Arabidopsis thaliana: one gene and its partners. The protein of the gene in region 2 purifies or fractionates together with the protein of the main gene of each other region. This does not show direct contact. Each region holds a gene or a part of one and is shown on either strand. Other genes may lie near its edges.

What was found.
Region 1: the proteins of emb1507 (region 2) and MAC3A purify together in Arabidopsis thaliana (affinity purification with mass spectrometry, with the first as the bait; one study listed by BioGRID). This does not show direct contact.
Region 3: the proteins of emb1507 (region 2) and EMB2765 purify together in Arabidopsis thaliana (affinity purification with mass spectrometry; 2 studies listed by BioGRID, with this or other methods). This does not show direct contact.
Region 4: the proteins of emb1507 (region 2) and AT5G28740 purify together in Arabidopsis thaliana (affinity purification with mass spectrometry; 2 studies listed by BioGRID, with this or other methods). This does not show direct contact.

Annotation. Positions count from the first base shown.
Region 1 is NC_003070.9:1,224,952-1,231,471, forward strand, and holds MAC3A (MOS4-associated complex 3A), read left to right. Parts: upstream 1-1,531; 5' UTR 1,532-1,797; coding exon 1,798-1,810; intron 1,811-1,900; coding exon 1,901-1,986; intron 1,987-2,135; coding exon 2,136-2,207; intron 2,208-2,295; coding exon 2,296-2,358; intron 2,359-2,628; coding exon 2,629-2,715; intron 2,716-2,864; coding exon 2,865-3,006; intron 3,007-3,094; coding exon 3,095-3,216; intron 3,217-3,379; coding exon 3,380-3,496; intron 3,497-3,754; coding exon 3,755-3,850; intron 3,851-3,945; coding exon 3,946-4,005; intron 4,006-4,102; coding exon 4,103-4,177; intron 4,178-4,281; coding exon 4,282-4,386; intron 4,387-4,552; coding exon 4,553-4,672; intron 4,673-4,765; coding exon 4,766-4,843; intron 4,844-4,941; coding exon 4,942-5,026; intron 5,027-5,113; coding exon 5,114-5,165; intron 5,166-5,351; coding exon 5,352-5,422; coding exon of another isoform or gene 5,423-5,428; intron 5,429-5,513; coding exon 5,514-5,641; 3' UTR 5,642-5,996; downstream 5,997-6,520.
Region 2 is NC_003070.9:7,307,243-7,312,276, reverse strand, and holds the start of emb1507 (U5 small nuclear ribonucleoprotein helicase), read left to right. Parts: upstream 1-2,005; 5' UTR 2,006-2,191; intron 2,192-2,346; 5' UTR 2,347-2,362; coding exon 2,363-5,034. UniProt on the Arabidopsis thaliana protein: RNA helicase that plays an essential role in pre-mRNA splicing as component of the U5 snRNP and U4/U6-U5 tri-snRNP complexes. Involved in spliceosome assembly, activation and disassembly.
Region 3 is NC_003071.7:16,204,406-16,212,266, reverse strand, and holds the start of EMB2765 (P-loop containing nucleoside triphosphate hydrolases superfamily protein), read left to right. Parts: upstream 1-1,838; 5' UTR 1,839-2,013; coding exon 2,014-2,430; intron 2,431-2,509; coding exon 2,510-2,599; intron 2,600-2,800; coding exon 2,801-2,863; intron 2,864-3,108; coding exon 3,109-3,195; intron 3,196-3,284; coding exon 3,285-3,437; intron 3,438-3,529; coding exon 3,530-3,666; intron 3,667-3,860; coding exon 3,861-4,095; intron 4,096-4,271; coding exon 4,272-4,382; intron 4,383-4,875; coding exon 4,876-5,934; intron 5,935-6,022; coding exon 6,023-6,280; intron 6,281-6,765; coding exon 6,766-6,951; intron 6,952-7,057; coding exon 7,058-7,861. Other genes in the region: AT2G38780 (cytochrome C oxidase subunit), read right to left, coding at 1-54, 422-756, 965-1,415.
Region 4 is NC_003076.8:10,778,747-10,784,511, reverse strand, and holds AT5G28740 (Tetratricopeptide repeat (TPR)-like superfamily protein), read right to left. Parts: upstream 4,010-5,765; 5' UTR 3,847-4,009; intron 3,750-3,846; 5' UTR 3,739-3,749; coding exon 1,888-3,738; intron 1,727-1,887; coding exon 1,274-1,726; intron 1,190-1,273; coding exon 740-1,189; 3' UTR 516-739; downstream 1-515. Other genes in the region: AT5G28750 (Bacterial sec-independent translocation protein mttA/Hcf106), read left to right, coding at 236-370; AT5G28730 (nuclease), read right to left, coding at 4,294-4,503, 4,674-4,949, 5,024-5,385, 5,467-5,509.

The DNA of each region.
Region 1 (6,520 bases), 6.1 Mb from region 2:
GAAAATAAGAGATAAAGATCGTACTAAGTCAAATGTATTTATTTTATGGAAATTTCGAGGGGAAAAAAAATGTTACGTGATGCTTAGTTAAATTCGGAAACTACAAATTTCATATCAAGATGGTTTCTCTCGATAAAAATTCGTTACAGTGATAGTTTTAGCATACCATGCTTCGAGTTGTCGTTTTCTATATATGTTGTTTTCCTTACAACCATAACCAAATAATGAACTGATCATACAAATGAAAAGATACTTTTATAGATCGGAATATATATCGACTTAGATAACGTAAATAAAGGTACACCAATGTGATTTATAGATTATATAGTCATCAACACCATATATGAAACTTTAACAAAAAAACACCATATATGAAACTACAATTTTTTACGAACATGGTCTTACCTTTATTTTATCTTTTTTTTTCGTATAAAGAATTCCCAAACTATGAAAAAATGTCAGCTAGGTGAATAATCTAACTTTCATGGACTATTACTCAGCTAAGTTCAAAATATCCCTTCACTTCAAAACTTCTAAAAACAACTTTCATTGACTATACGCATTAATTAATTACTATTGTAATTACGACGATTTTTTTTTCGTTCTCCTCTAGCTTTTTTTAGTTTATTTGTTTTGGTCATGGTTGGGAACGGGACATCATCACATCACTTATCAACATTCTATTTGGTCCCCAACTCTATGAAGCATTATTTGAAATCATTAGCATGACTATCTAAGTTTTTTTTCTCCTGATATTTATCCAAAATTTTATTTCATTCAAATTGTTTAACAATATGTACATATACTATATGTATTATATAAAATACATATCACCACTCAGGCAATTTTTTAAACTTATATACAGTATGTGATAAAATAAACATGGTCATACGTTTAAGAATTGGAAATTAATGAGGTTGCAAGAAATCATTTAACGAGAACAGAATGAAGAGAAAGAAAAAAATAGCAACTTGGTGGCAAAAGGAAAAAGAAACAGCTTGAGATCAAAGCTGATTTGATGAATCGATACTTTGGAGATATATATGAGCATCTTCGGCAAAAGCTTTGGCCTTTGAGTGCAGTGTTACACACACGCATTTTCCAAACGAGATGATTTAAGTTTTGCAGAGCTATCACAAATATATTATAATACCAAACTCTCAGACAATATTATATAAATCGGAAGTCTAATTTTTTTTAATAAAAAATGAAAATATAGTATGACCAATGATTTGTTCATATAAGGTTCTTTTTTCGGCTATGTTAATTGTTGAGAAATGAGAATACTAAATATGCTTTTTATGAGAATACTACTTTTCGGCTATGACTAATTTTTGTTCATAAAGAACACATCTATCGTACGTGCAAATAGAATGGCCCGTACATCGTTGTCCTACCTTATACTTTAAAAGAATTTGTAATCAGAAAAAATAAAAGAAAAGAATGACAAAAAAAAGGGTAAGAATTATACTTTCGAGTTTCTTTTCTCAGACAGAAAGAATGAACGAACATACATAGTTTAACTAATGGGCTTCAGAAAAAAGCCTAATTAGTTATAAATCAAGGTCTCGTTAAAAGGCCCATTTGTTTAACAAGAAATCTCTAACTTGTTGTCCTAAGCTTAAACAATTTTTGCATCTCTCTCTCTTTCCGTCTTCATCGTCCTCCCGGCTTCTGCGATTTTGTTTAGTAGCGCCGGACCGGAGTAGTTAAAACCCTAGCCCAGTCTATTTAAAGATTCACCGAGTAGTCTTCTAGTCCTGCGTATACTTCTTCTTCTTCGTTTATACTTAGAAGATGAATTGTGCAAGTAAGGCACTCTTTCTTCTCTATTTACCGATTTAGGGTTTTATTTTGCTTTGTTTCTGTCGGTAACACTGTGGTCTTTTCTCCTCTACAGTTTCCGGCGAAGTTCCGGAGGAGCCTGTGGTTTCTAAGAAGTCGGGTTTGCTTTACGAGAAGCGGCTAATCCAGACGCATATATCCGTAAGCAAGTTCTTTTCTTTTCTCCCTCGTTCGACTCTTATCTAGGGTTTTCAGCTGTTTAGCCTCTTGCACCTCTCTATTTGCTGCAGATATTTTCTTAATACAGACTTTGTTGTGATAATTTATAGATTGCTTTTGGTACCTTGTAGGATTATGGGAAATGCCCGGTTACTGGTGAGCCACATACTCTTGATGACATTGTTCCCATCAAAACTGGGAAGGTAATGCAACCACTGGAGTTATTTGTCACACAGCATTGTTTGTAGAAACTTATTTAAGCCTGATTCGATCTCCGGGACCATTTTGCAGATCGTAAAGCCGAAACCATTACACACAGCTAGCATCCCTGGATTGCTTGGAACGTTTCAGACTGTAAGTTCTTATTTTGTATTCCCTATACCTTCTTTTTCGTTTCTGAATTTTGTTCTCTGTCTATTAAGGATCATATAGAGTTAAAATGGATGAACTTGATTTGGGTATGCATCGCTATCTGAGTTATTTAACATAGCAGATTGCATTCTACTCTTTACATTGAATTATATGTTCATTTGTTACTAATAGCAAGACGAAAGTGTTCGCTGGTTATTTTTACTTTAGGCAAAAGAAATGCTTAAAAAGTTTATCTGTTTGTTGTGCTTGTAGGAATGGGACAGTTTGATGCTATCAAATTTTGCTTTGGAACAACAACTGCATACTGCGAGGCAAGAGCTAAGTCACGCTTTGTATCAGGTAATTATGGTTAGGTGCATTTGCCACCACCTTATCAGACTACATGAATTACAAATATCTATTATGTATTCTAGTTTCTTTTCCTGGATGTTTCCATTTATTTCTTGTGATAAAAGGTGATTGATGGGGGATACACTTTTCCTTTGCAGCATGATGCTGCTTGTCGTGTGATTGCTAGGCTTAAAAAAGAAAGAGACGAATCACGACAATTGCTTGCAGAGGCTGAAAGGCAGTTGCCTGCAGCCCCCGAAGTTGCCACATCGAATGCTGCTCTTAGTAATGGTAAACGAGGTATGCTTGCACGTTTGCTTCTCAATGTAAGTTGGCTATGTGGTAATTTCTCTTATAACAAGCTACTATGTTTTTGGTTGCAATATAGGTATCGATGATGGTGAGCAGGGGCCTAATGCAAAGAAAATGCGTCTTGGAATTTCGGCTGAAGTTATCACAGAACTCACAGATTGTAATGCTGCTCTTTCTCAGCAGCGTAAAAAGAGACAGGTAACTGCATATATCAGTATATTAGTGGAAATAGAAGGCAAAAGAGAATTACATATATATATAGTTTGTCTGTAACATACAATGGATATCTGCACTTTTGGAGTTCAATTAGATTTGCGAGTGGTTCTTCTGTCTTAATAATTTCTCCTCATTGGTTCTCTAGATCCCTAAAACATTGGCTTCAGTCGATGCTCTGGAGAAGTTCACCCAACTCTCAAGCCACCCCCTTCACAAGACCAACAAACCTGGAATTTTTTCAATGGACATCCTACATTCTAAGGTTTGACACCTAAGAACTTCTCTATTTTCCATTCATCACTTTATGTAGTTTTTCTCTGTCCTGAGAAGTCACTGCATTGAACGTCATAGTGACATGTTTACTTTTGCGCTTACATTATATTGTACACTGCCATGAATCCCCATCTGGATGCTTATCAATATTATTCTTCAGTATATAGATTTTGTACACTACCATGAATCCCTGTGTCTGTTCTCTATTTAGTATTATTCTTAATTTCTCGTTATATGTGGTAATCAGGATGTCATCGCTACGGGAGGAATTGATACAACTGCCGTTCTCTTTGATCGTCCTTCAGGACAAATCTTATCAACGCTGACTGGTCACTCAAAGAAGGTCTGTCTTTTACTGTATTCTTTTTTTATATTTCATTTTCTTTTTTAACTTTTCCTTTGTAGTTTTGTGCTTGACATGCATTGTTCCTTTTGCAGGTTACAAGCATCAAGTTCGTTGGTGACACTGATCTTGTGTTAACTGCTTCATCCGACAAGGTAAGCTAAGGTTATGTGTACAAGCTCCTTTGAGGATTGCATGATTTTATGGAGTAGTAGTGAAGAGATTAACTTCTCATTTCTTAACACTCTGCAGACAGTCCGCATCTGGGGATGTTCCGAGGATGGGAACTATACCTCTAGACATACACTGAAAGATCATTCTGCCGAGGTAAGGATGTAACTGAAGAACTTCTACAGGCTACAGTCTCATACAGTTTTACGTTTTATTTATTTTTGGTCTGTTTAACGTAAAAGCAATGATGTGGTTTTCAGGTGCGAGCTGTAACTGTCCACGCAACGAATAAATACTTTGTGTCAGCATCACTTGACAGTACATGGTGCTTCTATGATCTGTCCTCCGGTTTATGCCTTGCTCAGGTCTCCAAAATTTTAATCCACACCTGATACCTGTTATCCAGTTTCAGATTTCTTCTTTTATGCTAATATAACAATGAAACATTTACCTTCTTTATTGTAATGTGAATTAGACTCGTTAGAATAAATGTTTCTGCCATGCGTCTTTCTCATTATTGTTGTTATTCAGGTGACAGATGCTTCCGAAAACGACGTGAATTACACGGCTGCTGCTTTTCATCCTGATGGTCTCATTCTTGGAACTGGTACCGCTCAATCTATTGTTAAGATTTGGGATGTAAAAAGTCAGGTAAAAACTCTTTGACCTTCCTTGCTCATCAACTGTTGTCACTTGTAAGTTTGTTCTCACTTCACTCTCATCTCTATCTCTGTCGTTTGATAGGCAAATGTGGCAAAGTTTGGTGGACACAATGGAGAAATCACCTCTATATCATTCTCTGAAAACGGTTATTTCCTTGCGGTGGGTACATTGACTGATTGACCTAAACTAAGTAGAAAGAAGGATAGCACCAGGTTCCTTTTGACTGACCAATATTTACTATTCTTTAAATTGTACAGACTGCTGCACTGGATGGTGTTAGGTTGTGGGACTTGCGCAAGTTAAAGAACTTCCGAACCTTTGACTTTCCAGATGCAAACTCGGGTATTCAACTACCTGAGCACTCTTACTAGTCTATTTTGTTGAGTGAGTTTTCATTTCTTAAGGCCTGAATGAGCTTTTTTTGTGCAGTGGAGTTTGACCATAGCGGATCTTATCTTGGCATTGCTGCTTCAGATATAAGGTGAGGTCTACTTTGATACACAATGTTGGGAATTAATTGATATAGGAGCTCACTTTGATAACGAGATATTGAAAGATAGTTGTGCAAACTCAATTAACCTGCTATCACCAGAAATGCAGTTTGGGTATATGTATACGTTTCTTCTGCAAATCATACTAATCGAAAACTTGTGCTTCAATGTTGTAGAGTATTCCAAGCAGCTAGTGTAAAAGCAGAATGGAACCCAATCAAGACTCTTCCCGATCTGTCCGGTACAGGTAAATGCTACATGTTAAGCTTTTGAAGTCACTGCTCTTCCTTGTTTTATTGAGTCTATCATTCAGACATTGTAACTACATAAATGTGCAGGTAAAGCAACAAGTGTTAAGTTTGGACTCGACTCCAAATACATAGCAGTCGGTTCAATGGACCGTAATCTCAGGATATTTGGTTTACCTGATGATGACAATACTGAAGATTCAGCACAAGATTCATGAAGAGATATCTCAAAAGTCTCATCATCAAGAGTAGCTATATCCTCAATTCTCGCGATTTTTGTTGTATCTTTACAGTTCTGTTGGTACTTTCCTGATGGCCCCTCTCACAATCACATATACACACCTGAGCTCTCTCCCTTTCTTTCTCAGTCAACAATTTTCCTGTAACAACATCGTACCTTAAGGATCTGCAGTTGATCTTTCTCTCTTTGATCTGAAAGAGTCCACATAAAACAAAGTTAGCTGCTCACTATAAAAGCAAATGAAGAACAGGCATGTAAATGATCTTCTTCATCATTCAAATCAGTAGGACCTAAACGGCAACAATTAAAAAACTTGTGTTATATAGAAAGGGTCATGAATCTTGAAGACAATGAAATGAAGACAAAAAGATTGTGATGGTGGTCATAGAAATTAGAAAACCCTGAGACAGACAGAGATTTTGACTGTACTGTGGTCAAAACACACACTTCACAATCTTCCCATTCCCCCACCAATCTCAGATTCCTTTTCACTTCCTCCAACTCTTTCTCTCTCTCTGGCCTTTTTTTTTTTTTTTTTTCCTATTTATAGCTCATCTTTAGTAATTCCGTTATTGGTTAAATTTCCTAAACATGTTTTTGGTATCAACAATCAAGTAAGTGCAAGAAAGTTTGTATCTTTCTCTAAACCCAATTTCCAAAGTAACCAACTACTAAACCAGAATGTTACACAAAGTAAGTCACTAAATGACTTTAAAAACAAGATTAGACTTTAAACTAGATTAGAGACATACTTATTTGGAATAAGATTCAAAGGTCACTAGTAGCTAGTAGGTGGTAAAAAGGAAGCTAAACAACAAATAAACTCTTATTAAAATCTTTCAATCAATAAATATTT
Region 2 (5,034 bases):
ATATTTTTCTTTATATCAAGCTTTTCAAATGTATAGGTATAAGAACTCAATTTTATGATTATCGCCTCTACACGTTGTTTTTGTGCTTTTTTTTTTCTACTTTTGTATATATTTGGGTCATGCGTGAAGCGGTGAGAGTACTTTCGGTTGGTGGAATGTCACGATGAGCTTCATCTTTTGACCTTATCAATTCTAGTAGCGGTTCCTGACATGGAAATTCACGTATACATGATACGAAAACTGTTACATTTCGTCACTTTCGTCAATATTTCTACGCATATTATTCATATATGTTATCTATTTTCTTCGTATGTTTCACAAAAAACGTATTTTGGACTTTCTAGGGTTTGTTAAAATCTCTAATAGTTTATTCATAGTATATATGGAAGGAATATTGAGACAATATTACTCGAAATTTTAATTATGCATGGATATATTCAGACCAAAATGTCAATTAGCCTCCGAAATGTATAAAACAAGATAAAGGATTTATAGTGGTCAACCCATTATTGTTATAATAAAGGATTTTGTAGTTAACTATGATACATTGTAACACATTTGAATTTTGTGGCAGACTAGCGATGATTTTCTGAATGACCTTTTTCAAATCAATTGTTACTTGTAAAAATTTGTCATTAACAACCGTAAGTGATAATCGGTAGTTAAATATTCCTTCCATATATACTAATCAAATGCAGCGGTTAAATAATTGATAGGAAAAAAAACAGCATAGGCATTGTTACTTTGTGTTTACACTTTTGAATAAAAAGTATTATTAAGTAAAACAAATAAATAATAAAAAATATTATTAAATCTTGGAATAAAGTACACCAATTTTGTCATAAATAATTAACTCCGGCAAAACTTTAAAGATAATGGAGCCACACTATGTCACATGATCGATGCTCCCTCTAATCCGCAATAGGTGCTTACATGGATGTTTAAACCGAATTTAGGCGGACGAGAGTTCTTAGTTGTTTATATATACGTAATTTGTTTTGTTGTATATGTGCAGTAACAAAAATAACATCGCTTTAAAACAAAAAAAATTGAAGTGGTTTAGCATAATTTTAGATATTAATTAATCTTGGTAAACTCTTAAAAAAACAGTTTTGTTTTAGAATATTAAACAAAAATACATAATTGAATATGATGCTCTTGTTACGTGGATTTCCACACATGGCCTTTTTGGGACATTTTGATTTTCCACGTCTCAATATTTCACACGCCTACTTATGTGATGACTGATGCGTGATTAGTCAATTTTCTGTATTAAATTACTGTTTTGTTTGTTTGTCACCATTCTCTGTATTTCCTTAAAGAGTAAAAGAAAGTAAAAATTTAGTCACCGGTTGAGTTTTTTTCTTTCCAAACAAGAGTTTTAATGATGGAGTGAGTTTTTCTTGTACTTTGTCATGTTGTTATGGTAGTTGATTCTTGTTATATCGATATATAACATGAGAACTCTTTTTAATACAAAACTATAAATTATACGTGTTGCATGTTTGAAAACTATATTATCACTAAGATCAATAGATCTCTTTAGAGATTTGACAAAAATAAACAAAGACATATATATAAATTTTTTGGATATTTTTATGGACTGCCCAGTTTTCACATGATAACACATGAACCTTCGTCTCATATACATGTGCCATCTTTTACTAATCTAAGATTGCATTCAAAGTAATCAGCCTCCATGTCATTGTCACCATTTAAAGTTTTTCCCATTCCTTGTTCATTATTACACACACATTATATTTGTCAGCGATTATTAATGTTGAGGTATTAATATTTTGACAATTTTAATTCTTATAATAAACAAAAACACTTGCATTCATTCTCAAATTAACAAACGCAAAAGAAAGCATGAGACCATTGTCTTATTACGTTGGGCTTAGGAAGTATGTACAGGCCCAGCCCAATCCATGTACAGAGTCGGTTTCGTTATTGGATCCATAGTTTCAAAACGGCATCGTTAAAGTTTTCCACCTTAAGGCGGTATCGCTAGCTTATAGAAAGAATTCGCAGTCGAATAAACGAAGGAGTGTCTCCTTTAGTCATTTAGGTCGATTATTAGGAGATAGAGGACGTGAGAAGGGAGAGATCTGAGTCTCCTACTAGGGTTTCTTCTACTGGATTGATTCGTTGCAGAGAGTGAAGCTAAGAAGAGATTTTCGTAGCTGTTTCTGTAAGTTTTTTTTAATCTCCGTTTCCTCGATTTGGGTGTGGTTTTATTAGGGTTTATCATCTCTGGGAGCTTCTTCGTTTCACTTTTGGTTCGTTTCTTCGATTTGAGGTTAACATTGTGTATTTTTTTTTGTTCCTGTTTGATTTGGTTTCTAGGTTTTCGGATTGGTAGATGGCGAACTTGGGAGGCGGTGCGGAAGCACATGCCAGGTTCAAGCAGTATGAGTACAGAGCCAATTCTAGTCTGGTGTTAACTACTGATAATAGACCTCGGGATACTCATGAGCCTACAGGAGAACCGGAAACTCTGTGGGGGAAAATCGATCCGAGGTCTTTTGGTGACCGTGTTGCTAAGGGAAGGCCTCAGGAGTTGGAGGATAAGCTGAAAAAGTCTAAGAAGAAGGAACGTGATGTTGTAGATGATATGGTAAATATTAGGCAGAGTAAGAGGCGGCGTCTAAGGGAAGAGAGTGTGCTGACTGATACTGATGATGCGGTTTATCAGCCGAAGACTAAGGAGACGAGGGCTGCTTATGAAGCCATGCTTGGTCTTATCCAGAAGCAGTTGGGTGGGCAACCTCCGAGTATTGTTAGTGGTGCAGCGGATGAGATTTTGGCTGTTCTCAAGAATGACGCATTTAGAAACCCTGAGAAAAAGATGGAGATTGAGAAGTTGCTGAACAAGATTGAAAACCATGAGTTTGATCAGCTTGTTTCCATTGGAAAGTTAATCACGGACTTCCAAGAGGGTGGTGATTCTGGTGGTGGTAGAGCTAATGATGATGAAGGGCTTGATGATGATTTGGGCGTGGCTGTTGAATTTGAGGAGAATGAAGAAGATGATGAGGAAAGCGATCCTGATATGGTTGAAGAGGATGATGATGAGGAGGATGATGAGCCTACCAGAACTGGAGGCATGCAGGTTGATGCAGGGATAAATGATGAGGATGCAGGAGATGCCAATGAGGGCACAAATCTTAATGTTCAAGACATTGATGCATATTGGCTCCAGAGAAAGATCTCTCAAGCGTATGAACAGCAGATTGATCCACAACAATGCCAGGTACTCGCAGAAGAGCTACTAAAGATACTCGCTGAAGGGGATGATAGGGTTGTTGAGGACAAGCTGCTTATGCACCTTCAGTACGAAAAATTTAGCCTTGTCAAGTTTCTGCTGCGTAACCGTCTTAAAGTTGTGTGGTGCACTCGTTTGGCTAGGGCAGAAGACCAGGAAGAGAGGAATAGAATCGAGGAGGAGATGAGGGGGTTAGGCCCAGAGTTGACAGCAATTGTGGAGCAGTTGCATGCAACAAGAGCAACAGCGAAAGAGAGGGAGGAGAACCTGCAAAAAAGTATTAACGAGGAAGCCCGGCGTTTGAAGGACGAAACTGGTGGAGATGGAGGCAGAGGCAGGAGAGATGTTGCTGATAGAGATTCAGAGAGTGGGTGGGTGAAGGGTCAGCGTCAGATGCTGGACCTGGAGAGCTTGGCTTTTGACCAAGGTGGTCTTCTGATGGCGAATAAGAAGTGTGACCTCCCCCCTGGCTCTTACAGAAGTCATGGCAAGGGATATGATGAAGTTCATGTGCCTTGGGTTTCTAAAAAGGTTGATAGGAATGAGAAGCTAGTGAAGATTACGGAAATGCCTGATTGGGCGCAACCGGCTTTTAAGGGAATGCAACAGTTGAACAGGGTTCAGAGCAAAGTGTATGACACTGCGCTTTTCAAGGCAGAGAATATTCTTCTTTGTGCTCCAACTGGTGCTGGGAAAACCAATGTTGCTATGCTCACCATACTGCAGCAACTTGAAATGAATAGGAACACAGATGGAACTTATAACCATGGAGATTACAAAATTGTCTATGTTGCACCCATGAAAGCCCTTGTTGCTGAAGTTGTAGGTAATTTGTCTAATCGTCTGAAGGATTATGGAGTTATTGTGAGAGAACTCAGTGGGGATCAGTCCCTAACCGGAAGAGAAATTGAAGAGACTCAGATAATTGTTACAACACCAGAGAAATGGGATATCATCACTAGGAAGTCTGGAGACCGAACTTATACTCAGCTTGTGAGACTTCTTATAATTGATGAAATTCATCTCCTTCATGACAATCGAGGGCCTGTGCTTGAAAGCATTGTTGCTAGGACTCTTAGGCAAATTGAAACCACGAAAGAGAATATTCGTCTGGTTGGTTTATCTGCTACATTGCCAAATTATGAAGACGTGGCCTTATTTTTGCGGGTTGATCTTAAGAAAGGTTTGTTTAAATTTGACCGCAGCTACAGACCCGTGCCTCTCCATCAGCAGTATATTGGAATCAGTGTGAAGAAACCGTTGCAGAGGTTCCAGTTGATGAATGATCTTTGTTATCAGAAAGTATTGGCTGGTGCTGGAAAGCACCAGGTCCTTATTTTTGTTCATTCAAGGAAGGAAACATCAAAAACTGCTAGAGCAATAAGGGACACTGCAATGGCGAACGATACCCTCAGCAGATTCTTGAAGGAAGATAGTGTAACTCGTGACGTTCTCCATAGTCATGAAGACATTGTTAAGAATAGTGACCTAAAAGATATTCTGCCTTACGGTTTTGCAATTCATCATGCTGGGTTATCAAGGGGTGATCGTGAGATTGTTGAGACTCTTTTTTCTCAGGGGCATGTGCAAGTCTTGGTTTCCACAGCAACTCTCGCATGGGGTGTGAATCTGCCTGCACATACCGTAATTATAAAAGGAACCCAGGTGTATAATCCTGAAAAAGGGGCGTGGATGGAGCTGAGTCCTCTAGATGTTATGCAGATGCTTGGTCGTGCTGGAAGACCTCAGTATGATCAACATGGGGAGGG
Region 3 (7,861 bases), on a different chromosome or scaffold from region 2:
CTCTTCAGCGGTCTCAACTGAATCCCCCGGTCGGAGTGTCCTTCCACCACCAAACTTAAACAAGAAAAGTATATATCTCAATCCTCATTACTTGAGACCATAGATGCCAGCAGGAAAATATACACTCCAAAACCATCGAAGTTAAGAGCTGATGGTTATAGCCAACAATCCAAAATGTGGAAAATACAACCAACAAATCATTTTTGATGCATCATATTTCACAGTAGACTAAATGGTATGCGAACTAAATAATAAACCCATGAAACCTTTCTGGCACTCCTACCTCTAATAATCTGGAGTAAGTGGCTCTATATACCCTAACTTAACAACATTGGACATGCAACTTCTTCCCTCTTGGGGGTTTATGAAAAAAACTAATCCAGTTGCATAACACATATCTTTAGATGGGCCAGTCACATACCGTCTTAGAGATGTTGCTAGGTCTTGGGAAAACTCCCCATGTAGAAACTTTGGGTTTATACACATCAGAGTTTCCATCTCCTTCTTGCTCAACCTCCTTTACTTTCTCCGCAAATCTTGTTTTATCACCAACAATAAACTCCACCTCAGGTAAGTCTCCTTCAGGAAGATAGTCAACAACAGGAACAAGTCCCGCTGGAAGCCCCCTCGTGCTCTTCTTATCAGCAAAGCCAAGCCCCATGAAATCAATGCTGGAGACTTTCAATTCTTTCTTCTTAACATCATTATCTTCAACAACCTTATTTGCTAATCTAACGAAACTTTGATCTGTATTACCTGAAACCCATGAGAACAATTCTCCATTAATACAGCTAAAAATCAAGGCTTTACTCCTAAATCTAATCAAAAACCAATCTTTTCAAGGAACAGGCCACGAAAAACACATGAATGATGTACTAAAGACTATTAGAAAAGTGCATTGATCTACAAACTCAAGCAAAGACAGTTACAAGAATTTTGTGCAAAAGATGATTTTTTACTGAACTGGGTTTAGCTTTTGCGACAGCATCAGTTCCAAGTCCTTTCCTTTTCTTATAATCATTGGCTTTTTGCATAGCAGCCTTAACAGAGAGCGGCAATTCCTCGTCGCCGGCATTTTTCTCTGGTTTTTTTTGCTCTGATTTCGATTTCTTATAAGCTTCGGCTTTCTTCAATGCGAGCTTCACCGGATCCACATCGAGCTCAACCTCTGACGAGCGGTCCGGTGAGGACGAGTTGCTCCGAGTTCGGAAAAGTGAGAGTTTCAAGGATTTTGGGTGTTGAGATGGAGAAAAAAAGAAAGCGGGAGTTTCGGTGAGTGGAGAAGAGAGCCAAGAGTGGTTGAAAGAAGCCATGGTTTGGTGGAGAGAAGAGCTGGTTAGCCATTTTTGGAGTGCAATGTTTTCACAGACTTGTGGACTCGTGGATGCAACATCACCACCCATCCATTTCATCATTGGTCTTGGTCACTAGAGCGCATAAACAGTTCGTTTTATTCGGTTTATATTCGGTTTAGATTGATCAATTATGATTCGAATTCGTTTATTTTGGCTCAGTTCAATTTTTTTTTATGCACACTCATATTTAAGTTGTTTTATTTTAAATCAAAATACTAATTTAAAAGAATGTAAAGTTTTATGTTATCCGATTGCATAAATTTGGTTTTAGTTTGGTTTATTTGGTACAAATTACTGTTTAATGTTTTTTAATCATAAGAAATTCAGTTTTGGTTCGATTCGGTTTACTTGGCTTTTGCTCACCATTATTTATTTATATTAATTTTACTCTTAAGATTATTTCTAGTTCCAGTCCAGACTAAAATACTTCTAGCCCAATATCGGCCCAAGTCCAGCTGTAATTAAACTAGCATCACTCGGGTCGGGTCGAGTCGGTCGTAACCGCCTTTTATCTTTGACGTCGTCGATGAAACTCTCACCTCCGCTTAAGCCCTAAAAATCTTACTCTTCTTCACTCTAAATCCCTTCTCTGAACCTCTTCGTTTGCTGTATGTGTTGATTTCACTTCTCTCTGAGCAAGAAGCTTTCGCGTGAGAGAATGACGAAGGTCTATGGAACTGGCACGTACGACTTCAAGCGCCACAGAGTGGCGGAGTATCCATTGGAGTTACCTAGCCATCCTGCTGAGAAGCCTCTAGAGTCAAAGCCTGGATCTAATTTGCCGAGCTCCATCACTTTATCGGAGATTCAGCAAGATAGGTTAACGAAAATCGCTGAGGAGAGCTGGATTAAGACTGGAGGTAAGCTCCCTGAGAAACCGTTCGATCCGGAGGTTGTGAAGGAGATTTATGTGACGGAGCTTAAGGTAACTAGTGGTCGTAAACCTGTTCCACTTCAGCGAGTTATGATTCTGGAAGTGAGTCAGTATTTGGAGAACTATCTATGGCCGAATTTTGATCCTGAGACTGCTACGTTCGAGCATGTTATGTCTATGATTCTTATGATTAACGAGAAGGTAACTAATCTTGCTCTCTTTCGTATTGGACTGTTGGAGCTGTAAACAGTGGAGTTTAACATTGCTACATGCTTTGTAGTTCCGGGAGAATGTGGCAGCTTGGATTTGCTTTCATGATCGGGATGATCTATTCAAAAAGTTTCTACAGAAGGTTCTTCGCCTTAAAGAGGTTTGTATTCTACCTGTTGTTTTAGTTTTTGTGATTCTAGTGTTGTTCCTGTTTGTGATAATTTGGTTTGTACCTGTGATTTATAACATTGTCTTATGCCTGGAATTGACTTCGCTATATATTTGGAGGCATAGTGATAAATCATAATTAGCCATTGCTAAACCAATCGTATATTTATATATCATTTGCTTACCATTGTAGGGAAGAGACTTGACTATTGCTGAGAAGACAAACTATTTGGTCTTCATGATTAATGCTTTCCAGGTTTGTTCCGTTTCTTGCATGTAACTTTTGAATAGGTCGTAAGTATTTAGAATGCTGTTGCGCCTGTTTCAGATCAGAAAATTAATACATGATATAGTAAGCAGTAATTGCAGACAATATAGCTGTGTGCTACTCAGTAAATTGTTTGTTTCACGTGGAAAACCTTATTATTCATGTTTGTACACAAATTATATCCTTGTGCTATTTTGTTTTTCTTCAATATTCTTAACTGTGTGATGTTACAGAGTTTGGAAGACGCAGTGGTTAATGAGATTGTTCTAAGTCTAGCAGGATTACAATCTTGGCACAGCTTGTCTTATGGACGTTTCCAGGTGGGTGTTTCCTTCACATGGATTTTGTTAAGGATGGTGAAAATATTTTGTAGTTGCTCTGATATCGTCATTGATTTTTACAACTGTAGATGGAGCTCTGCCTTCAACCTGATCTAATTAAAAAGTGGAAGAGGTCATCAAAGAAATGGGCAGCTGAGGCAAAGTCAAAGGGAGAGAAATTTGATTTATCCTCATCCCCTGAAGCAAATTTTGTTCGAGGCCTAATAGAAGAATTCGTTGAGGTATATAGCCTGTTTTTATTGGGTTGTAGTGGTCTATGTTCGTCAAATATATCTTTCGCATAGTTACGCATAATTCATAACATTCTGTTCAGGTGCTTGATCATGGGGTTTTTGCGGATGAGGTTGATGATACTGCTGGATCTCAATTGGTCGATGATTCTTCTGTCTTATATTGTGAGAGATTCATGGAATTTCTTATTGACATGCTGAACCAACTTCCAACAAGAAGGTATTAATATTTCCCTCCAGGGCCTCTATGCAAGTTTTTTGTAGACTAAAATATCTAGGGTTTTTTTTTGTTCCTAATAATATCTAGGTCTTAGTCTTGTTACGCTTCCTCATTCTACACTGTCCATTTCTGAGCCATTCATTTACTGGACCTTAATTTTTCCTTTCTCCATCTCTTCATCTTGATTATTACAGATACCTAAGACCTCTTGTGGCGGATATAGCAGTTGTTGCCAAATGTCGACTGAGTGCCCTATACAAACATGAAAAAGGGAAGCTTTTCGCCCAACTAGTTGACTTGTTACAGTTCTACGAAAAGTTTGAGATAAAGGATCATGATGGAACACAATTAACTGATGATGAAGCACTTCAATTTCATTACGATCGTTTTATGGCGTTTCAGCTACTTGCCTTTAAGAAAATACCTAAGGTATTGTCCTGGTAATCATGGTTAATTAATAGATAGGTAGTTTTGTGTACTAGGTATTTTTGTTATGTTACTATTGGATTTTGAAGTCATTGATCTACTCTCTTCCTTATTTTCTAATATTTTTTGGCAAACGCTTCTCTAGATTCTCACATTTGTTTTTATCTGGTTTGCTTCAGTTGCAAGATCTGTCTTTGGCTAACATTGGTTCGATTCACAAGAGTTCTGATCTTCGGAGGAGATTGTCTGTGCTTTCTCTTGAAGATTTAAGGGATGTTGTCTGCTCAAAGGTATATATCTGGAAAGCATATTCTTGTAGGTTCACAAACTCTGCATGGGAATTCAGGATATGATTATGGAATATTGCTGAGGCAATTCTATGATGATCATATCTTTTCTGCCAGTTTCATTATGCTAAGGCTCTTATAGTTGTGAGCTTTCAGTGAATATTATTGGCAAAATGCTTAGCAAAATCAGAATACAAAGTCTAAGTTGACATGCTAAAAGATCTATGGGTTGACACAAATGTAGACGTTATGTATCTACTTGTTTGAATTCCCTTTAGGCCATTACAGTAGTACGCAGAGTAGTGTGAGAAATCAGTGAAGAGATGTATTTGTGCCTGTGGAGAGTAGAAAGGAGATATGTAAACTGTATTTGCCTCTTGCTGTTGCTAATTTTAGTTTTCGTTAAAATATACTTTTGTTGCCTTAGAAGTTCACGTACAACAATTATACACCTTGCCACCTACATTGGTTCTCATTTTCATTTGCTTTTGTGCAGCTCAAACTGGTTTCAAGACATGATCCTTGGGCAGATAGTAAAGATTTTCTGACTGAAGTCGTTGTCTCCTCTTTTGAGAAGCAACAGTCTCAGAAAGAAGCAATAAACGCTCTGCCTTTGTACCCAAATGAGCAAATCATGTGGGACGAAAGTGTTATTCCAAGCATTAATTATTCTGGGGAAGGTTGCCTTGCTCTTCCAAAGCTTAATCTTCAGTTTCTAACACTCCATGATTATCTCCTTAGAAACTTCAACCTCTTCCGTCTAGAATCCACCTATGAGATTCGTGAAGATATACAAGAAGCTGTACCACATCTTCTTGCACATATAAATAACGAGGGAGACACTGCTTTTCGTGGTTGGTCACGAATGGCGGTTCCTATTAATGATTTCAAAATCGCTCAGGTGAAACAGCCTAATATTGGAGAAGAGAAGCCTTCATCTGTGACAGCAGAAGTTACTTTCAGTATCAAGAGTTACAGAACGCAGATAAGATCTGAATGGAATTCCCTTAAAGAGCATGACGTGTTGTTTTTGCTTTGTATACGCCCTTCATTTGAGCCATTAGGTCCTGAGGAAGCTGATAAAGCTACAGTTCCACAGAGGCTCGGGCTTCAGTATGTTCGTGGTTGTGAAATCATCGATATCCGCGATGAGGAGGGTAATCTGATGAATGATTTTACTGGAAGAGTTAAACGGGATGAATGGAAGCCCCCAAAAGGTGAAATGAGGACTGTGACTGTCGCTTTAGATGCTGCACAGTATCATATAGATGTTACAGACATCGCTGAAAAAGGTGCTGAGGATGTGTATGGCACATTTAATGTGCTAATGAGGAGGAAACCAAAAGAGAACAACTTCAAGGCTATTCTGGAATCTATCAGAGATCTTATGAACGAATATTGTATTGTGCCGGAGTGGTTGCATAATGTTTTTCTTGGGTATGGCAACCCTTCTGCTGCACAGTGGCCTAATATGCCAAACCTGTTGGAAATAGTGGACTTCAAAGACACTTTCCTTAATGCAAATCATCTCAGTGAAAGTTTTTCAGATTATGAGGTTAGTACCTATATTCTTTTGTATATGATGTGATCTAGAAGACTAGAACTAGTTCCTTTCCATGTCTCTAATAATTTGTGCATATTAGGTTTCTTTCATCAATGCTGAAGGTGCTGAAGCTCTGGATCCAAGTCCTCCGTTTCGAATCACTCTTCCAAAGACACTAAAAGGAAATGGTGCTATTTCTGGAAACAAGATATCTGAAGTGAATCCAGCAGATAATGTTAATATGGTGGATGCTTCCCCGAAGGAGAAACTTATTGTTGAGGCATATACCCCACCTGACCCAGGGCCTTATCCTCAGGACCAGCCGAAGCAGAACTCAGTTAAATTTACACCTACACAGGTACTACTTATTTCTACATCCTAAGTGCAGTATGCTGATTTGGTTTTTATATAATTGTGCTGTGCTATACTTGTCAACTTTTCGTCATTCTTGCTATTTGTTTTGGAAGATGACAAATTTATTATCTTAGAATCCTTCCTACTTTTACAGAAGAGTTATGTCATACGAGAATACTATTCATCATCTTTATGTCGCCTTATTGTGTTGGGTACCTGACACTTATAACCCATGTAAAATTTTGCACCTGTTATTTCCATCGTAACGTAAATCATTTGGTCATTGATCGATTTGAGTGGTCAATACTGTTCCCACATCATTCTGTTTTATTTGAAGAAAGTTTTACCTAATGTTCAAATCACTTTCTCCCTCATGGTGGTTTGGATGAGAATGAGAAAATATACCAAAACATTTGGTATGGATTCAAAATATGGATCATTGTTGCAAGTTGTAACTAAACCATGTCCATGCCTACTATTTTCCTGCAGGTTGGAGCAATTATCTCTGGTATTCAGCCTGGGCTAACTATGGTGGTTGGTCCACCAGGTACCGGAAAGACTGATACAGCAGTGCAAATTTTGAATGTTCTATACCACAACTGTCCTTCTCAGAGGACATTGATAATCACTCATTCAAATCAGGCTTTGAATGATCTTTTTGAGAAGATAATGGAGGTACTATTGGCATCTTCGTTGCTTTTGTTATTTATATGGAGTCATATTTAATGTTTTATGTTTGACGGAGTTCTGAGAGTCAAATGCTACATGGATCTTTTTTCAGAGGGATGTACCAGCGCGGTATCTACTTCGTTTGGGTCAAGGTGAACAAGAGCTTGCCACTGATCTTGACTTTAGCAGACAAGGCCGTGTCAATGCCATGCTTGTTCGGCGTCTGGAACTCCTCAGTGAGGTTGAGAGACTAGCAAGATCTCTTCAGCTTCCAGAGGATGTAGGATATACTTGTGAAACAGCTGGATATTTCTGGTTGCTTCATGTATACTCGCGTTGGGAGCTGTTTCTCGCAGCTTGTGCAGGAAATGAAGACAATCAATCTTTTGTGCGAGATCGCTTCCCGTTCAAAGATTTCTTCTCAGACACCCCTAAACCTGTTTTTAATGGGGAGTCATTTGAGAAAGACATGAGGGCAGCTAAAGGTTGTTTCTCTCATCTCAAGACTGTGTTCCAAGAGCTAGAAGAGTGTAGGGCCTTTGAACTACTCAAGTCAACTGCTGATAGAGCAAATTATCTGATGACCAAACAAGCAAAGATTGTAGCAATGACGTGTACTCATGCTGCATTAAAGAGGAGAGATTTTCTTCAGTTAGGGTTCAAATATGATAACTTATTGATGGAAGAAAGTGCTCAGATTTTGGAAATTGAGACTTTCATACCAATGCTGCTTCAGAGGCAAGAAGATGGTCATGCACGACTCAAGCGCTGTATATTGATTGGTGATCACCACCAGCTGCCTCCCGTGGTGAAGAATATGGCTTTCCAGAAATATAGTCACATGGATCAGAGTTTGTTTACGAGGTTTGTTCGTCTTGGTATTCCTTATATTGAGCTCAATGCTCAAGGAAGAGCC
Region 4 (5,765 bases), on a different chromosome or scaffold from region 2:
ATATAGTATAGACCAAGCATGTTGTTATGTTAGGTTAATCTGGCAATGCAATCTCTATTCAAAAACCGATCACAGAGGTAGCTCGTGATTTTATTATTGGAGTGATATTAGCTCCGAGAAAACTTCTGGTTATTGTTATGGCTCTCATGGTTGTCTGTTTGTTGTATGTTTTTCTGTGTTCCTATTATCGTTTTACTTGTATTGATGAAGCTTTGTATGGTTTGGTATAACGCAGGCTGCAAAAGAGTTCGAGTCTGAGCTTAAGACAGAACCCGAAGAGTCTGTTGCAGAATCATCTCAGGTAGCAACGAGTAACAAAGAAGAGGAGAAAAAAACTGAGGTTTCTTCAAGCTCAAAGGAGAATGTATGAAGATGAGAGACTTCAGTGTTTGCTTTTCCTTGTAGCTACAACAATTTTATGTCATGAAGAGTTTAGATCAAATATTATTGTCTGGAGGAAACAAAATAGCCTTCCAATGAAAAGTATAAATTAATTTGTGTTTGATGAATCTAGAAGGCTCTTTCGAGTAGAAGAAGCAAAGAACTTGCACAAACAAATTAACTCTAGTTAAGACCAAAGACCAAAGAAATACAGAGAACTCTTATGTAAACAAAGTGTCGAATTATAAAACAAAACAGAATACAAAATTTTTCTCTAAGTTTCACGTTTCTGGGTATTACAATGAAGTTTGGTTCCAGAATCACTAAGCACAAGACTAATTGTCTACGACTCGCTTGTTCACTGATTAAGCTTCTGTCTCTTGATCCTCTCAAGTGCACCCAATTTCTGGGCAGCACCGTCTTCTCCAGCTTCTTCGCCGTCTTCGTCTCTCTTTCTAGCAAGTCCTCCAAAAACAGCGGCAGGGACTTCTTTCTGAGAGATCTCCACATGGTCATCTCCATCAGACTCATCATCACTTTCATCGGGAAGCTCGATGTCTTCTCCATTCCCTGTCACTGGTTTCCCCTCATTCTCACCGGACTGTGAGATGACTCCTGCGCTTACAAACCCAACTCTTCTCCCGCCATCTTTTGCTGGCTCTGTGGGGGTAGTTGTAGACAAAAGCTGCCTCTCCAGAGCCGCCATTTCGTCTTCAGGTAAACCGGCTCTCTTCAGCTCGCCTTTTGCGTCTTCCACATCAAGCAGCTTGTCCTTTTGCATCATGTTCTCTGGTAGAATGAAATGAGTCTGAAACAAAAAAGATCAATATAGTCAGATTTCGACTCCAAAAACAAATGACAAAAAATTGAAAGAAGAGAAACTGATGCAGACCTGACTATAGCTTGCGGAAACACTTCGCTTGATACGGAGCATTTCTCTGTAGGTATCTTCGTTCCCGTGCTGGACCTCGAACTCATGCCATTTGTTCCAGAATTCAGGGTCGGACCTTGGATCTGCAAACTGGGAGGAATACTTATAGAGTGCACGAGCACGATCAATCTCTCCCAAGCTTCTCTCCAGCTCAGCAAATTTTATGCACATGATCTTCACATCCTTATGTGGAAGCCCAGATTCAATTGCTTGTTCATATATTTCCCTTGTTCTGGGAACACCAAATATCTCCGCTGCTCGGGAAATGTATATCTCGTACATCTCAAGCTTCTGACCTTCTGGAACTTTTTTGGTGGCTTCCTCATAAACCTTCATGGCTCGTTTAGCCAGACCATAATCCTCTTCTAGCTTAGCATACTGAAGGTATAACGTCCTGACAGCATCAGATGGGGCCTGCAAGAGAGACAAAAAACAAGTTAGATCACATTTCAATATTATCACATCAATAAACAAGTTCTCTAAGCCACTGGCCAATTAGTCAACTTCGGTGCTAGTTTCATCGGATCTGTAATCAGACAGCACAAAAGTATGGGTAAAAGGACAGATGAGCTTACCATTGAAACAGCATGCTCAAACAACTCTCTTGCCCGCTCCAGCTTTGTCTTCCCGTATCTCTTGACAAACTTTGTAAGATAGGTTACCCAAATGTCTTTCACATGAGGATACTTGAATATCTTGACACCTCTTTCATACACCTTGAACGCATCTTCAAAGTACTTATTTTCCTCAAGAAGAAAAGCATAATTCATTATAATTTGAGGTGTAGCTATTCTCAAATCCAATATTTTCTCATAGACAGCTCTTGTCGATTCTAACGTCCCCAGACTTTCTTCCAGATCAACATAAAAGGACCAAAGCCTCAAGGATCTATGCAGCTTCATCTGGACTGGTTCATTGCCATCAGCAGCAACTCTCCGTCTGACTTCTACTGTCGGTACAGCTGTAGCACGCCTCATCAGCTCTAATGCTCCTTTGAAATTCTTGTGTCTCAGCTCCATCTCAGCCCACTCACACCACACACTGGCGAGATGATCTACGGTTTTGTAGTTTACCTGGACTGCTTTGTCAAAAATCACTCTAGTATTGACCAGGTCTTTGTGGTTTTCATACAACTTGGCAAAAGCAACCCACAAGGTGTGAGGCTTCCCAACTGCTTTCATAGGATCAACAGTCCTCACTGCTTCTGTGTATGTGAGAATCTGCTTTGCTGCGTTTCCCTCAAATATTTTGACTCTACGATGCCATTGCTCAACATTGTGAGGATTCTGCCTAAGGAGCACACTGTTTGCCAGTGCAGGTCTTCTGTTCATCAGTTCTTCCAAACGAGCCAATCTCAGATCAACATCATTATCATCATTCAACCAAAACCCATTCAGTATCTTCCTCTGCAACTCTTTCACCGACAGATTAAAATTAAGGCGAACATCCTCTTCATCATCCTCTACGCCATTCTCTTCATTCTCATCTTCTTCATCACTTGAACTCATCATCTCCATCTTCTTCGCGACCGTACTCTCCTCGAACCGTGAATAAACGTCAAATATCACACTAAAATCCCTTACAGTTACTACCTTCATCATACCCTCCTCATAAATATCCCTAGCTTTCTCCAACAAATTCTTCCTAATGTAATAATCCGCAAGAGAAGTCCACAGCATTCCAACTTCATCCGTAAACTTCCTAATACCTCCTCTTATAATAGCATCAACATTAAGACCCGAAATCACATTAGCATGATGCACAAGAAGCTCACACAACTCCAACCACAGTTTATGCTTAGTCTTCCCTTTAATAGAATAAAACTTATCATCATTCAACACAGAAGCTAATCTCTCTGCAGATTCTTGCCAACGCTCAGACTTGACAAGAAACTCAATAAACTCCTCAATATGACTAGGATCATACATAAGATACCTTCTATAAACCCTAAGTGAAGTCTCAATAGGAATCCCATTTTGACTCACAAACACAAGATACGGTTCCCAAATCCTATCATGTTGAGTAACAGGTAAAGCACAAAGCGCACGGTCGAAAGTTCGCCGAGTCCGAGTAATCAATTGCTGAACCGTAAGAGTCTGAAGATACATAACCCAAATCCTAGGCATCTTATGCATAGTAACAAGACCTCTCTCAAAAGTATTGTTGAGAGAATCGTACTGTGGATGAGTAACAGGCAAATTCCTAACGATATCGAGTCGTTCTCTAAGATAAGCGTACCACAGTTTATAGCTTCCAGGAAGTGCTTTTAAAGCTCTCTCGTAGATGATGAAGCGTTTCTTAAAAGGAGATTCAGCTTTTGCGATTAGGTATCTCCACCATAGCTTTAAGCTGAATTGGTTTCGAAGAAGCTCTTCCTCATAGAGTAGATCCTCTTGAGAAGGATAGAGATCTTTGGAAATCGCCATATAGTTTAGATCTAGAATGGAGAAACGAAAAGGATTAGGGATTTGAGAGCTTGTTTAAGCGAATCTGAAGGGAGTGGAGAAGGATTTGATTAGAATGAGAAGCTTTACCTGTGAGAATGTGAGGGACTAATCGCCGGCGATATGGTGAAGAACGGCGAAGAAGACGGTGAAGGGTTTGTTTCTCCGGCGTGAACGTTTTTTTAGGGTTGGGGAAAAGAGAAGACACGATAGTGATTTGATTTGAGGTAAGTGTTGTTATAAGTTTATTTATATTATAATATTACGAAATTACCCTCTCTGATAGAGATTGGTGAGTGTAAGAAGAATTGAGAAGAAAAGAGAAAATTAGTTGTTTTTATTTGACTGGTGGTTAATAAGACTGATCGAGAAGAATTGTTAAACGTTTTAATTAGGTTATTATTTTAAATTTATAAATAAAATTCAAATTATTTTAAAAATTAAATTAAAATTATAGAATTATTATGTGTTTCAATTTTAAAGATTCCATTATTCAATTAAATATAAAAAAAATTTATGATAAATATAATATAAATTTTATCGACAACGTCGAGATCCATATCCTTTTACTGACCATATGTGTTCAGCAATTTGATCACGAACTATCCGCATATACATTTCTGCCTCTGATGATTCTTCAATTTCAATACCATCATTGTTATCTTGCTCATCTGTCGCATCATGTGGAGCTTGTACAACATTATTCTCAGAATCAACATTGTCAAAATCATAGTCTTTAATATTATGCTGACGAATAAAATTATGCAGATCCATTGTAGCGAATGTAACACTTCTTTTTGTAGTAATATCATATCTCGGAAATTCATTTAGGACCCTCCATTTTTTTTTCCATAAGCCGAACGTTCGTTCAATAACAGAACGTAATGACACATGCCACCTATTATACATTTCTTTACTGTTTCGAAGAGGTTCACCGTTAAAAAATTATTGGAGATGATATCTTGTGCCTCTCTATGTTCTCTTCGGTATGGAGCTAAATATCCACGTTTATTAGCATATCCAGAATCTACAAGATAATACTTACTATCTGGAGGTACATGAAATAGTGGATCATCACTTATCGCAGCCGAAAGGACACGTGCATCATGGGTAGATCCTGCCATCCCGACAAAACAATATGTGAAAAGCATGTCAAGATCGCATATAGCTAGAACATTGAAGCTTGCAATTCCCTTTCAGTTTATAAATCGAAGACCTTCTCGCCTTGGTGTCACCATAACAGGTACATGTGTTCCATCAAGTGCACCAATAAATCCATTAAAAATGGCCAATATCTTGTATCATCTTGCAAACGATTAGAGATAGCTCTAAGTTCTTCGACTTTTCTTGGGCGTATATACTCTACAGCCAATCGTTCCATTGCTTTAAGCACATCATGAAACTTTCGCCAAATTGTCTCTTGGGCATGTCCAAACCTTAATGCAATATCACGTTGTGTATCATTTGAGGCACAAATGATTAGAAAGATTGCAACACTCTCGTCGAGGCTTATGTTCGTCGAGCTTTGTAAACCATACTTCCCATGTAATATTTCACATAACTGTGTGAATGCCTCTGAACTCATTCGGATAAGTGTCTGACATGAAACTTCATTACTGTAAATTTGATCTCGAACAATTAGCCATCCTCTTCCCCCATATGATGTCATAGGTTGTTTGTAAAATCATCTCGTGTAATATTGCAACATACGAGCTATGCATTCTTCCATATTCGCTTCTTCTTCTAGTAACATTAACTCTGCAATCTCTTCGTCGTCAAGATTCTCGATTCCAAATGAACGCAACTCGACAATTCGTTCCTGATATTTCAAGTAAATTTGTATTAGACATTGATGAAAATATTTTAATGAACATATAAAATATACATGAGAGAAAAACTTAATTCTTATTTAAAATTTTTTAATACAAATAATCACTACTTCTTCCCATCTTTTTCACTTGGCCTATTAAAAAAGTTTATCATTTCCGGAGCATTAGCAGAACTAGAAC